Arabidopsis thaliana: one gene and its partner. The protein of the gene in region 1 interacts with the protein of each later gene in a pairwise test. Each region holds a gene or a part of one and is shown in the gene's direction. Other genes may lie near its edges.

Region 1 (10,285 bases):
CTTGCGTCAGACGCTAGCATCAACTTTAACAAATCTGGAATACAAATCCTCAACTAATAATTCTTGAAGATTGATATTGACAGGTAAAAATTGAAATTCAATTAAATGACAATCAATAGATAGTGAAATCTATTACCCCTAAGAATATGAAGAACACGAGTCACTGCGTCAGTGGGTGGCATTGTCTCAAACTTATGAGCAGCTTCTCCCGCAACCAACGCGATCAAGAGAGCACCACCAGCAACCGGTGCGTAGCTATAGAACAGAAAGAATTCACCTCGATAGTTCGGATCCTCAGTAAGATGCCCAAAGGTATCGAGATCTGTGCTCCAAAATACATACGGAAAGAGCATTGCAACTTTATTCAGTAACCCAAAACCTAATCTCTTTATACAATCAAGCTTTCTCTGAGGTAATTCGGGAACAAATTTGATGGATCCGTTCTTAAGGACACCAAGGGGAACTGTACACAGCACCATATCACCCTCATACACTTGATTTCCAGCAGTTACCTTGACACCATTTGAACCATATCTGATTGTTTGGACGGTCTTCTCATATAATATTGGTACATTTTCAGCCAAAGCCTGAACCAGCCTTCCATTTCCTCCAGGCAGAAAGCAGTGATCTCCACCCATATCATATGGGTCATCTTGATCCCAGAATGCAAGAGAAAGCTTTGATACTAGGCCCGCATTTGCATACTCCAAGTTAGCAAGATGCCAGTTAAACAAACCCATCTCCTCGGTGGCCACATCATTCCCAGAAACCTGCCTGAATGTCTCGAGTGCTGCCCCAAGGGAGACATCCATGGAAACATCACCCATCAACTGCCTAAGTTTACTTGCCTTGTCTAGAAGCTGGTTAAACGCTACCTCAACCTTTATATCCACATCTGGATCAACCGGCTTACCATCCACCCTATAAAGAGGACACTTGTCTCGTACCTTATAGAGAGAAGAACCAAGCTGTCTCGCTATAATCCCTAAAGGATTTCCTAATGTTCCAGTCAAAACACTCCCACCTAAATCCGCTGCAGCACCTACCCTATTAGCTTCCATCTTTTTGGTATAAACCCGTCCACCGGGTCGTTTCCTACCCTCCAAAACCGTGACTTTGAAGCCAAACCTCATCAGTTGCCTAGCTGCAGCCAACCCAGATAAACCAGCACCAACTATAATCACACTAGACTTGCTTGACTGAGCAGGAAACTTATCTTTAATCGCCTGTGCTATTCCAAAATTGATATATCCATGTGTAACCAAGTAATTATAAGCCGAATCTAAGAGACTACTACAATGTTTAGGAATCGAATTAAGAAACATCTCCTTTGTGACCCAACTAGATATATTTTCTCGCCATTTGGATATAATGTGGTTCCTAATCAAAATGTAATTGACTTGTTCAATGCCTCCAACAATAGGCACCACACCGAATTCAATCTCTTCCTCGGTAAGCGAATCAGCAGGAAACCCAGCAGTGAGAGCAAGCAAAGCTTCAGTGGTAGCTTCCTTGTTAATCGTAATGATCTCATCACCAATCCCAGGATAACTTTTCACAGTCTGGTTTGATCCATTGACGACCTCTACGTTAAATCTACCGGAAGAAGAAGCTGAAGATGACACGAAATTACTGTTACCAGGAAGAAGACCTACGTTAGGGACGGGAAGGGAATTAAGCGAAGACATTGAGCGCTGAGAACGTCCTCTCCTTCGTTTCTTTGGTGCGGAGAATGAGACCATCTGCTCAAAACTAGGGTTAGAGATTGAGGTAGAGATCGAATTCGGAAATGGATTCAAACTTGTTTCGGTATTGGTGTTTGAGCTCGACTGTGGAGGAGGAGGAGTAGAGAATTGAGAGTGAGAAACAGACGGAACATAATTATCCGGTGGATTCATCGTTTCCGTCGCCGTAGAAACTGCAGGAGAGTGATCGATGAGAAGAGGAAGAAGAAAAGGATTGTTTGGTTACTGGATTAACTTTATCTTTATTTAATTGAAGAGCTTTTTGATGATTTAGTTTCCCACGATTTTTAAATTATTATTTGGGAAAAAACAGAAAACAAGGAAAAAGTAAAACAGAAAAAGAAAAAAAAATAGAGAGAGAAGAAAAGTCTGGAAAATTAGAAGAAGAAATTGGAAGGAGAATAAAACAAACGCGTATCGTATAGATTTTTACCTTTTCTTCTTCGTCTTCTCCATTTTCTCGAGATTTAGCTTTTCTCTTCGTGATCGGGAACGTGTTGATCAGATTCTAGCGTGGATTCGTATCCCAGGTAAGATTCGCAGCTGAAATCGAATTTGTTTCTCGATATTCTTTTCTCTCTAGATCTACTTCCAGACGTAGTGTTTGATTAATTTTTGTATACGCCGATAGTCTCGTCATCAGTTGAATTTTTCATGTAATTCGAATTATGATTCTCAGATCTTTCGCTGAAGGAGTAATGATTGAATTGTTCACATTTTGTTCTCCTGACTTGAATTCTATGTTCGCCGTTGGGTCCACTAGCTTCTTTGTGTGTACTGAACTGCGTAATATCGCGGTCTCTAGCTCGTGTATGTGTTTAACTCGTCTTGGGGTTTTGGACTTTTGCTTTCAGCTACAGAGAGCTTTGATTGGAATGTGCTGAGGAACATTCATTTCGGCTCTAATAAGCCAATCGGAGTGAGTTCGCCAGCATGGGGATTTTCAATGGTTTGCCTGTACCCTCGGATAAAACTGTAAGTTCACTTTCCTCACTCGTAGACTCCTACTTGAGTTGGAAAACCTGAAGTTTGGGCTTATGAGGAATTGTGTTGTTCTATGGTGTTCTTTCATCCCCTTGGGGATTTATAGGGACATTTAAGTATAACGGTTCTTTTTCTTATATCTCTTCATTTCGGGGTTGGAGTTAATTGTAAGAAGTTGTACGATGGCTAGACAAGAAATTGACTGAATTACCACCACTCTTGATTTGGTTATGTATTTGGTTTTGGAGTACATGTGTGTGTATATGTGCCTGAGTGTTGATGGTTATTGCAGTACCTTAGGGAGGAGCTGGCAAGAATAGATGAGAGCTGGGCTGCTGCACGATTTGACTCTTTACCACATGTTGTTCATATTTTGACATCAAAAGACCGTGAAGCTGACATTCATATATTAAAGGAACAAAGTGATGTTGTCGAGGAGGTTGTTGATGAAGTTGTCCATGCTTATCATGGTGGTTTCAACAAGGCCATTCAAAACTATTCACAGGTTTCTAATATCTGTTAGCTCTTCCTTTTTATTGGATAGTTCGTTCTGTTATTCTAAAGTAGCATCCTCTGTTACCGCTTATTGACTTCCATATTGCACGCTTCATTTGCCAAAGATACAACAAATCTAATATTGATACTAACTATGGCTGCTTCTATGGTTTCTGCATGTAGAATTTTCTTTTTGGAATAGTACCCTCTGTTGTAATTTATCTACTAAAATTTCATTTGTGGAACACCTTGGTTTTGATTATCTCTCTTCTTTTGCTCTGCTTTCAATGTATTCCTCATCAGATCTTGCGATTATTCAGTGAGTCCACTGAAAAGATAGGCGACTTGAAGCACGATTTAGCAGAAGCGAAACAGAGCTTGGGTGCACGCAATAAACAATTACATCAGTTGTGGTACCGTTCTGTTACATTGCGGCACATCATCTCACTTTTGGATCAAATCGAGGGCATTGCCAAGGTTGGTTGGATTAGCTGTAACATTTCTTTGTTTATTTTGAGTTTACAGTGCTTGCTATGTATCTGCGCTGCTATCAAGTTTCATACTTCATTCATCATCTCTGTATCTCTGATGTTACTTTTGTTGATATGCTCCCGATATATGTACTTACTTTTTTTTCATTTTGGCTTACTTAAAAGAAACTGCTTTTCTGATGTGAAAATGGTGACCCTGCCTCTTGAAACCTTGAACAGGTTCCATCTCGTATTGAGAAGCTCATTGCTGATAAGCAGTTTTACGCTGCTATTCAAGTGTATCTCCAGTCGTCTCTAATGCTGGAGCGTGAGGGGCTTCAAACGGTAATTTACTTACTGCCAATTTTAACAAATGCATTGTCATGGGAATATTGTGGGTCTTCCCATTCATTTATCAATTTGATCTCTAGGATTGTTTTGTAATAAATCCATTGAAGAGGATCTGGGATCATCGAAGTTCTGTTGGGACTTTAGAAATATCTCTGTCCAAGGGATCTACTGTTCACTTGTATGTTGAACTCATAGATATTTTGGTACGTTAACCTAGGTTGGTGCTCTTCAAGATGTCAGATCTGAGCTAACTAAGTTGCGGGGAGCCCTTTTCTTCAAAATTCTAGATGATTTGCATGCACACCTATACAATAGAGGTGAATACAGGTAGGTTTCTTTTGCAATTCTATAAGCAAATTTCAGAAGCTGTGCTGCTTTTTATCCTCGGATCTAGTGGCCTGCTTGTTTGATTGTTTGCCTCATCACTTCTTTCAGTGCACAATCTTCTGTTCTTGACCATGTTTATGCTGCAGTTCAGTTGCGTCAAGCATATATGAAAGAGATGATGAAGTACCAACGACAACAGCTGTTGCAGCTAGTCGAATGAGCTCACAACCACTGTCACGTAGAACACGGACACTGAAAGGTGATAGTCAGTTTGGTGTTAGAGGGCTCACAAATGGTTCATATAGAACCGCTTCTAATGATGAAAGGTATGATATAGCATCCTTTCCCTTCAGTGTATTCTTCATGAGATATTAGGAACATTTTTTCGTGTATATTGTTAACTTTATTCTGAGTGATCAATGTTTAGTAACTGTCTGTTTAGTTGTAGTTCTCCATAGAGGCTTTCACTTGCTCTATTATTAATACTGAGATTAATATACTTGCATCATTTCCTAATCATTATGTGGAGATTCTCCTTGTAAATTCTTTCATTAGAATATTTGTTGATAAAAGAAACTATACTGTAAACTGATTATTGCAGAAGTTGCTTTGTCTAGCCACACAACCTTTGTTCTAGTTTTACGAAATATACTTTACATGTTTTGCTATTCCTTGACTTTGCTAATGTTTGTATCTTTTATCACATTGTGTTTCGTAGTTCATCATTTGATGGACATGATGAAGAAGACTCCGTAGAACATGATGAATCCACCGCAGATACTGCCAGGAATGGCACTGATAGTAAATTGCTTTCTCACCAACTTCCTCCATGGCTTTCTGATTCCACTCCTGATGAGTTTATTGTATGTGTCTGTGATTCAGCCTTATAACATATTTCTCCCCATATTTCATTAGTGTCATGATATGTGTTTTCTCCTGTTTCAGGAAGCAGTAAGAAAGAGTGATGATCCACTGCATGTGAAGTATCTACAGACCCTTGTTCAGTGTCTCTGCATGCTTGGCAAAGTTGCAGCTGCTGGTGCTATCATATGGTTGGCTTTCTAATTATTTTCATTTTTTTAAATGGTTTTATAAATGCTACTGTTTCTGTTTCACAGCTGGATATAGTTATAGATTAATAACTCCTTTAATATCTGTTAGTGTTAGATCGCTAGCAGATGGCCTCATTTCTTTAGTTAACTTGTCACCCATGTCATCACTAGATACTAAATGTATATGTGTAATTTTTGGGACTGAACCTTTATCATTCTTGAATTTAAAGATAAATGGATAACCGATGCAGCACAGTAGTTTTCCACTTGATGGAAATTAGCACATTCCGGCTTAGAAATTGTGAACTTTTCTTAGTTATGATTTTGTGTTCGCTTGCAGCCAAAAACTTCGACCCACAATTCATGAAATCATAATATCCAAGATTAAAGCCCATCTGGAGACTACAAATTTGTCAAAGTCCGCGTGTAGTCAGGGTGATCGAAGTGTAGCTGCTGGATTGCATTTAATCAAAGGACAGTCAGAGGCCTACCGGTTATCAAAAGAGAAACCTCAAAATGGGATATCAAATTCAGGAACTCACCTAGCTGTGAGCCCTGTTTCGCCTCTTATGGCTCCTGGAGGCAAAGCGCAGGCTGCAGCGAAGGAACTTCTTGACTCAATTTTAGATACTATTGTCAAGATATTTGGTGAGAAATTCAACTCTTAAACTCATCTCAATATTTCATTTTCAATAGTCAACGCTCAAAAATTTTGTTACTGTTGCTTCTATAGAAAATCATGTTGTTATTGGAGAGCTTTTGGAGATGAAGGCTTCACAACATGACATTAACACACCAAGGTCATTGCCTACTGATGTGAATTGGAACACCGAGTCTGAAGCATCCCAAGCTACTGGAGGCTACACTATCAGTTTTCCCTTGACAGTCTTACAGGTTTGCTATTATACTCCAAATATCTAATTTGTCGTGAAGCTAAATGTTTGGATTCTCATACTTACGCTTATTGAAATTCTATGTGTTAATTGATGAAGAGTGAATGCCAACAACTCATATGTGAGATTCTACGAGCAACTCCAGAAGCTGCTTCAGCAGATGCTGCTGCACAAACTGCTAAGCTTGCAAAGAAGGCTCCGAAGAAAGACAAAAGGCAAGTGACCCACACACATTGGTAGTTCATACATTTACCCTGGTGATTTTCTCATTATCATGTAGGTACATAAACAATGAAAGATGTCCCAAGAATTAGACGTTTAAGATTTGGTTCTGAAGGCCTGGTGTGAATCACCTGGTGTAGTCATTCGATTATATAGAGAGGATGTTAGGGTTGAGATATCTTCCGACAGTAAAATAAGAAGGTTTTTACGATACCTAAGTCTAAAAATTTGTCATTTAGGTTCTTCTCAGCGCGCTAGTAAAGTGGAGCCCTGAGGAGTATAACACAGATTTGAACTTTTTGGTTGCTGGATCTTTAGCCTGTCTGGGTTATTTACTATCCTTTTAAATGTCAATATTGGAAATAGTTCAACTGTTGTTTAACATACAAACATGTCGCATTCTCTTTCAGCATCATAGTGCTTTGCAAGGCTATTTTGTAAGATATGCATTAGTAGTATTGATACTTGATTGATAATGTTGGGCTGCAGGGATGCACCTGAGGATGGCCTAACATTCACCTTTCGGTTTACAGATGCAACTGTATCAATATCTAATCAGGGTAATAATCAATCATCCCGACTTTTCTTTAGTTAGAATGCCTTTGGTGGACTTGATGACGTTATCTGCTGATTGCAGGAGCCGATCTCATTCGTCAAGGCTGGGGAAAGAGGGCTCCAAATGCATCACTGGAAGGTTATGGATCTGCAGCTGTTTTGCCTGAACAAGGAATATATCTAGCTGCATCTATTTACCGGCCTGTTCTTCAGGTTTAGATTCTGGTTCATCTAAGCATCTTCATTCAATGTCATCAGTTTTTTTTGTAGACTTATGATCTTATGTGTCTTGCAGTTTACAGATAAAATCACTTCAATGTTGCCCAAAAAGCATTCCCAGCTTGTGTAAGTTCAAAATTTCCACTTTTCTTTGAAGGCTGTCATCCTGGCAAAGCAAAACTACTTGCTCACAAGCCCAAAATGAAATTATTGTTTTCTCAAGTGCTGAGAAATTGCTAGTATATTCACCATCGGGTTATTAATAATTGATGCAGGAATGATGGATTGCTTACATTCACTGAAAACTTTGTGAAGGACCATCTGTTACCGACAATGTTTGTGGACTATAGGAAAGGCGTACAGCAAGCTATATCAAGTAAACCCCATATACTATAGAGATTTGATCATAGAGTTTTTTGCTATTTTAGGGTAATTATTCTCTAAATGTATAACATAGAATTGCATCTTGAAAAGTGGGCTGTTAGTTTGGCCCCAAAGACTTGGAGTTTTGCCATCACAAAGTCGTAATAGAAGCATTTGCTCTCAAAACTAATTGAATTGGTCTGCCAATATAGGGTATGGCAGTTTTATGAAAAGTTAAAGCATCTTTGAGAATTATTGCAGATATCTTTAAGATTCTTGGCATGAAATATTTTATAGGAATATTTACATTTCACTAATTTATTTAAAACAAAGTACCAGTAATGTCGGTGTGTAATTCTGTATAAATTCAAGGTTAGAAACCCATGGTTCTGAAATCATTTTGCAGGCGCTGCTGCATTTCGGCCGCGTGCACATACAACTACTTACACCGCAACCGTAGAAAAGGGACGACCTATCTTACAAGGTCTTCTAGCAATAGATCTCCTTGCAAAAGAGGCAAGTCGTCTATGCTTTAAAACTGCAAGATAAAAGTTTTTATTTTTCATAATTTTCATCTTCCTAAAAGAATGGATTAGTTGAGTGGTTACTTCCAGTTCATCATTTAATCCATTTTTGTTTTCTCAAGTTTCAAGATATTTGTGTTTTGATGAAACTACTTGCTCTTCAAATTTTATAGGTTCTTGGCTGGGCTCAAGCCATGCCTAAATTTGCTACTGATCTTGTGAAGTATGTTCAGACATTTCTTGAGAGGACATTTGAGAGATGTCGAACATCATACATGGAGGCATGGATATTCCTCTTTTCTTATTTGTTTTCCTCTTCCTTTTGACTCTTCTAATCTATATATGTTGGGCATCTGGTTTAGGGGTTTGCGCCTATAGCACAAAAGTTTATACTAAAAGTAGTTTTGTCAGCGTAATGTGATGTTAAAAATTCAACTGGAGGTAAATGAATTAGATGATATGACTGTGGATTACCAGCTAGAGTTCAGTTTGGGCTATGTGAACTTGGCATTAAATGCTTAGAAGCAATAATCCTCAGAGAGTATTGATTCAAAGAGTGATGTGGAAGAATATGGAGCCAGTCTTAAATGCACCTTTTCGCATCTTTGATAAAAAATCTGCATTTTCTTACCCATTTAATACCTCTTTAGTTTCCCTAAATGTAAAGCGTTGTATTTCTTCCTTCGTACACACTTTTCTGACCTTAGGTTTCATTGTTAGTATTTCAGGCTGTTCTAGAGAAGCTCAGTTACATGCTCATTGGGAGGCATGATATTGAGAAATTGATGCGGCTTGATGCGGCGAGTGCTTGTTTACCATCTACGCTTGGCCATGCCGTTTCTCACTCTGAGGCTGTTGGCACTGAAGTAGAACTCAGTGACCTATTCTTGAGTTTGCGACCTATCAAGCAGGTAAAAATATGTGTTCTCTGATACTTATTCTAGTAAGAATTTTTCATTCGGTGAAGATAATTAAGTTGTTTTCTTACAGGATAATCTAATTCGTGATGACAACAAACTGATTTTGTTAGCTTCTCTCAGTGACTCGCTTGAATACGTGGCAGACTCTATTGAGAGGTGATTCATTGGTTCAGATTCTTTATGCATTTGCTCGTTCCTCATCTCTTATTACATCTTAGATGTTTTAAGGACACAGAAAATTGCGAAGTTCCATGATGTTATAAAAGAGAAAAAGGACATGCATAGTAAAAATAGGATAGCTAAGAGACTAAATTAGACTGATCACTGTCTTTTCCAGCTCAAACTTAAAAAAACTCACAAAACTTTTTCATCAAGTGTAAAACAAAAGCTTGCATAACTTAAGGGGTCTTCCATGAATGTTGTTTTTACCCTTTCTGTTGTGCTCCTTCATCATGTCGAGAAAGATAGCCAGTTCTTCCTTCCCTAACAGCAAGCAAATGAAAATTCTTTCTGAAGTTTTGATTTCCAAAATCTTTAGGCTTGGACAAGCAGTTCCTCGTGTGGCGAGTCAAGCTGAAGGTAATAGCAGAAATCAAGCAGCTTCTCCTAGGAATCTGGCATCATTTGCAGATGAGTACAGAAAACTTGCGACTGATTGCCTAAAGGTTCTTCGTGTTGAGATGCAATTGGAAACAGTCTTTCATCTTCAGGTATGTGATGGATCTTCCCTTTGTGAGGAAAGTGGCATGACTATGAGAATTCTATCTCTGGCCTGTAAAACTTACGAAAATACTATGGTGTTAAAAAGGAAATGACGAATAGGGAATATTTGGAGGATGAGGATGCTGAAGAGCCGGACGACTTTGTGATATCTCTTACTTCACAGGTTAGGACTGATTATAGCTATGTACTTAAAAAAAAACAATATTCCAGGAATACACTTTAATCAGCCTTGTTTAGTTTCATAGCCATCAAATATTCATATCACTTTCTTCTGCTGAGAGAATCTAGTTAGCCAGATGATGAAGTCATCTTAATTCATTGCTGTGAATTACATACTTGTTAAGTGTCCACTGTCCAATGTAATTTTGAACTGCTTTTGCGAGATGACAATCTTTTGAACCCGATATTTCTGCACCAAGTTTCTTACTCTTCCTCTTTTTAC
Region 2 (3,600 bases), on another chromosome or scaffold:
TAATCAGCAGATTGGGATTGGCGGGAAAAGAAACGATTGGCATAGAAGAAGGAAGCCGAAGCATCTCTTTCAAAATCTACAGAGTTATCTTCTTTTTCTTTTCTTCTTCGCCAATGGTTGTTGGTGAGATTTTGAATATCATGCAGTGGATTCTTCTAAGAAATGGCAAATAATATGGTTCTCTACTGTTTTATCTCTTTTTTGCCGGTCACATTCTTTATACTTTCTCTCTCTCTCGACATTTGCTGGGATTTTCTGTGTCACACAAATGGCACCAATCTTTTTGTACGTTTTTTAAGTATTTATATGTCATATAAATGTACTTTATTTAGCTACTAATCATATTTTTTGGTTAGTGACTAAAACTGTATCATTCCAAACTATTCATAATAATTACGTTTAAAACTTAAGAAAAACATATGAAAAAGTTTGTAGATTGTCTGTTTATTTATCTGTCCTTGGATGCTTCCTTTGAAGAAAAAGAAATTTAGTGTATATATAAAAGAGATAAAGAATATATCACATCCACATATTTGGTAATTGATATATAACTCTGTAGATCTTATTCCTTTTAGATACCAATGACTCTTCTTTTTATGTAAACCATCAAAATCTGAAACAAGCTGAATAATGAAATACACATATCTTAAAATATATTTTTACTAGTAGTAGTAATTAGTAAATATCATAATATCAGTTTGTGGAGTATTTTAGAAAGAATTCGAACATAATATATTTTCGATTTTTTCCTAAATGTAAACTTTCGAATTTTCTCTAGTATGTTCTTAATGAAAAAATGTAAACTTACCAAATGTTGCTGATATATTTACAAAAATGTAAAGTTAGTGTCGACGATACATGTATATAAATATAATCAGTACACGAAAAAAAAGGTTAAGAAAGATTAGAGATTGGTGGTGTGGTGAACAAGAAGATGGACATGTATCATTTGACAGAATACATCGGCGTGGTATCGGGCGTCCTTATGGTAGCTCTTGCTTCGTGCTTGTATGGCCATTACCTACGTCGCATGGTATGTCCATGTTGTGAACCTAGACTACCTAGTGACTCTAATGCCTAACTATTATCATTTTGCTACTGATTATATTTATATAAATGTATTGTCGAAAATTGTGCGTCCGTTTATCCTCTACGCTAAACGGACTCTAGATGAATAATTATTTGTTTCAAAATATTGTAACTCTATTCTATTGATATTTATGAGATTTTACAAATTTCTTTTCAAATAGTTTGTACTTGGAAGCTGTCATTTTCTTAGGCTTTGTTTTTCTTTTTCGTCGAGTTCAATATTCCATCCATCTCATCGATTTATTTCTTATATATTACATGTACTACGTTATGTGCAAAACTTTGATGATATCACAACTAATATATCACATCCAAGTTTTGCAAAGCATGTCGTCAAATTATAAACTTATCAAAACATATGCAACCCCATTAATATCAAACGTATGTAACATCGCTAGATAACCAATCAGACCCCTACGACTAATATTTTCGAATTCGATACGTTATGGTAAGATTTAAAATCGATGATATTTTAGTGACATTTCAAATGATTAAACATATAACAAAAAATAAAAAATAACACGAACCCGAGCATGGGGTTAAGATTTGCGTTTTGCTCAACGAATTAGCGTTAGCGTTTGCAAAAAAAAAAAAAAAAAAAATAGGTTTGCATCAACAGCTGGCAAAAAAGAAAAAGAAAAATCAAAACCGGCGAGACGGAAAATTTCAGCGTTTCCGAACTTTCCATTAGAGTCGCGAGACGATAGATGAGACTCGTTCCAGAAATTTAATCGTTGCTTCTCTTCCCAGCTGATCTGCGTCCAACATCACTGTTTCCAGGATCTTCAGAATCAGCGAAGGAAGAAGATAAGAGGACGACGAAGTAATTGAAGTTGGAGAATCGCACATTTGGCTCTCGATATTTGCTCAATGACTTCTTATTCGGTTGCGTCCATTTTTCCTCTACGTTTCTGTTTCCAGATCTCTTGATTCTCCTCTGCGTTATCGTAATTGTGCTGGAATTTTGAATAACTTTGCAGAGGTAGCCTTCAATTTAGGATCGGAGTTCGTAAATAAGGTGATTTAGCGAAGATGATGGTCGAAGATCTTGGTGTGGAAGCGAAGGAAGCGGCTGTGCGAGAAGTGGCGAAGCTCTTACCCTTACCTGAACTTTTGCAGTCTATTTCTTCAATCAAGGCCGATTACATCGCTCGTCAACAGGTTTGACATCTTGCTTTTGAATTGCAATTGGAACTGAATTGGCTTTTGAAGTATCATTTGCACTGAGTATTAGTGATTCCTGAGCAATGCTAGATTTGAGTTGTTAGGTTTTGATATGCTATTGTTATCTTTTATTTTCGATTTTCTGGAAATTTTTAATGACCTGACTAGTGATGCTTGCTGTTTCAATCAGGCAAATGATGCACAGCTCAGTACTATGGTTGCTGAGCAGGTACAGCTTTAATCTGGCCTTCTTTGTACTTTAATGTATTTCGACTTTTTTGTTGTTCTTAAGTAATAGCTGTTGACAAACTTCAGGTTGAACAAGCTCAAGCTGGGTTAGAGTCACTTTCATCATCTGAGAAAACCATTTATGAACTGCGGGATAATTTCATTTCTATCGACAAGTATGTTTTTGCTTGACTAGAGATTCTTGAAGCTGAGTTACCAACTTTTGCATTTCTCTCCCTCTAACTTCTCTTCTTGTGCCACAGGCTTTGTCAGGAATGTCAAACTTTGATTGACAATCATGACCAAATAAAGCTGCTGAGTAACGCCAGGAATAATCTAAACAAAACTCTAAAGGTAGATATGCCGATGAGCACTGATTGTATTGCTTACAGTATTTGGTTCAGTGTTGTCCTTCTAACTTATTCTTGAACGCAAATATATATAGCTCTGCATGGTCGTCTCAGATGTTTAAATGCTTTCCAAGTTTTTGTCAACTTATTTTTACCTCATTCTCTTTTTTCAAGGATGTAGAAGGTATGATGTCAATTTCTGTTGAAGCTGCTGCGGCTAGGGATTCTTTGAGTGATGATAAAGAAATCGTTAACACTTATGAGGTAGCATGAGTTCCTCTTCCCATGGATTCCAGGCATTTCTGACTGCATCACTTTGAAAAAAAGAACGTTTGGTGTAAGACATAATATTCTGTTTTTCTTCCATAGAGATTAACAGCACTTGATGGTAAACGAAGATTTGCATTAGCAGCTGCTGGAGAGGAGGTTGGGAGGCTGAGGTTTGTATATATTCCACTCGTTTCCTTTCTTTGCTTTTTGTACTTACATGAAGTGAGCCCGAAAGCTTTAATTCAAGAGTTACTGGTGTGCTATGAAAGAAAATAGGTCTCTATGCTAAAGTAATGAGCAGTAGGTAGAGCTGTTACTCTTTTGGTAGTGCATATGATGATTTGATCCCGCCTCTGGACTGTCTTTTCTTTTTACATGAGCATGCATACCAACTTCTAAAGAGTTGTTTTGATGGGTTCAGGGAGTATTTTGAAGATGTTGATAGAACATGGGAAACATTCGAGAAGACACTATGGGGTCATGTTTCCAACTATTACAA

What was found.
Region 2: the proteins of SEC8 (region 1) and SEC6 interact in a two-hybrid assay, tested with the Arabidopsis thaliana proteins (one study listed by BioGRID).

Annotation. Positions count from the first base shown.
Region 1 is NC_003074.8:3,220,750-3,231,034, reverse strand, and holds the start of SEC8 (subunit of exocyst complex 8), read left to right. Parts: upstream 1-2,000; 5' UTR 2,001-2,275; intron 2,276-2,599; 5' UTR 2,600-2,678; coding exon 2,679-2,720; intron 2,721-3,021; coding exon 3,022-3,234; intron 3,235-3,527; coding exon 3,528-3,701; intron 3,702-3,934; coding exon 3,935-4,039; intron 4,040-4,262; coding exon 4,263-4,372; intron 4,373-4,518; coding exon 4,519-4,698; intron 4,699-5,090; coding exon 5,091-5,235; intron 5,236-5,317; coding exon 5,318-5,424; intron 5,425-5,764; coding exon 5,765-6,072; intron 6,073-6,157; coding exon 6,158-6,318; intron 6,319-6,416; coding exon 6,417-6,532; intron 6,533-7,028; coding exon 7,029-7,099; intron 7,100-7,176; coding exon 7,177-7,307; intron 7,308-7,389; coding exon 7,390-7,439; intron 7,440-7,588; coding exon 7,589-7,689; intron 7,690-8,082; coding exon 8,083-8,192; intron 8,193-8,373; coding exon 8,374-8,481; intron 8,482-8,928; coding exon 8,929-9,111; intron 9,112-9,190; and 6 more. Other genes in the region: FLD (protein FLOWERING locus D-like protein), read right to left, coding at 137-1,898. UniProt on the Arabidopsis thaliana protein: Component of the exocyst complex involved in the docking of exocytic vesicles with fusion sites on the plasma membrane during regulated or polarized secretion. Involved in polarized cell growth and organ morphogenesis.
Region 2 is NC_003070.9:27,007,901-27,011,500, forward strand, and holds the start of SEC6 (SEC6), read left to right. Parts: upstream 1-1,663; 5' UTR 1,664-1,974; intron 1,975-2,069; 5' UTR 2,070-2,121; coding exon 2,122-2,250; intron 2,251-2,443; coding exon 2,444-2,482; intron 2,483-2,568; coding exon 2,569-2,657; intron 2,658-2,744; coding exon 2,745-2,835; intron 2,836-3,005; coding exon 3,006-3,095; intron 3,096-3,200; coding exon 3,201-3,271; intron 3,272-3,522; coding exon 3,523-3,600. Other genes in the region: AT1G71810 (Protein kinase superfamily protein), read right to left, coding at 1-64. UniProt on the Arabidopsis thaliana protein: Component of the exocyst complex involved in the docking of exocytic vesicles with fusion sites on the plasma membrane during regulated or polarized secretion. Involved in polarized cell growth and organ morphogenesis.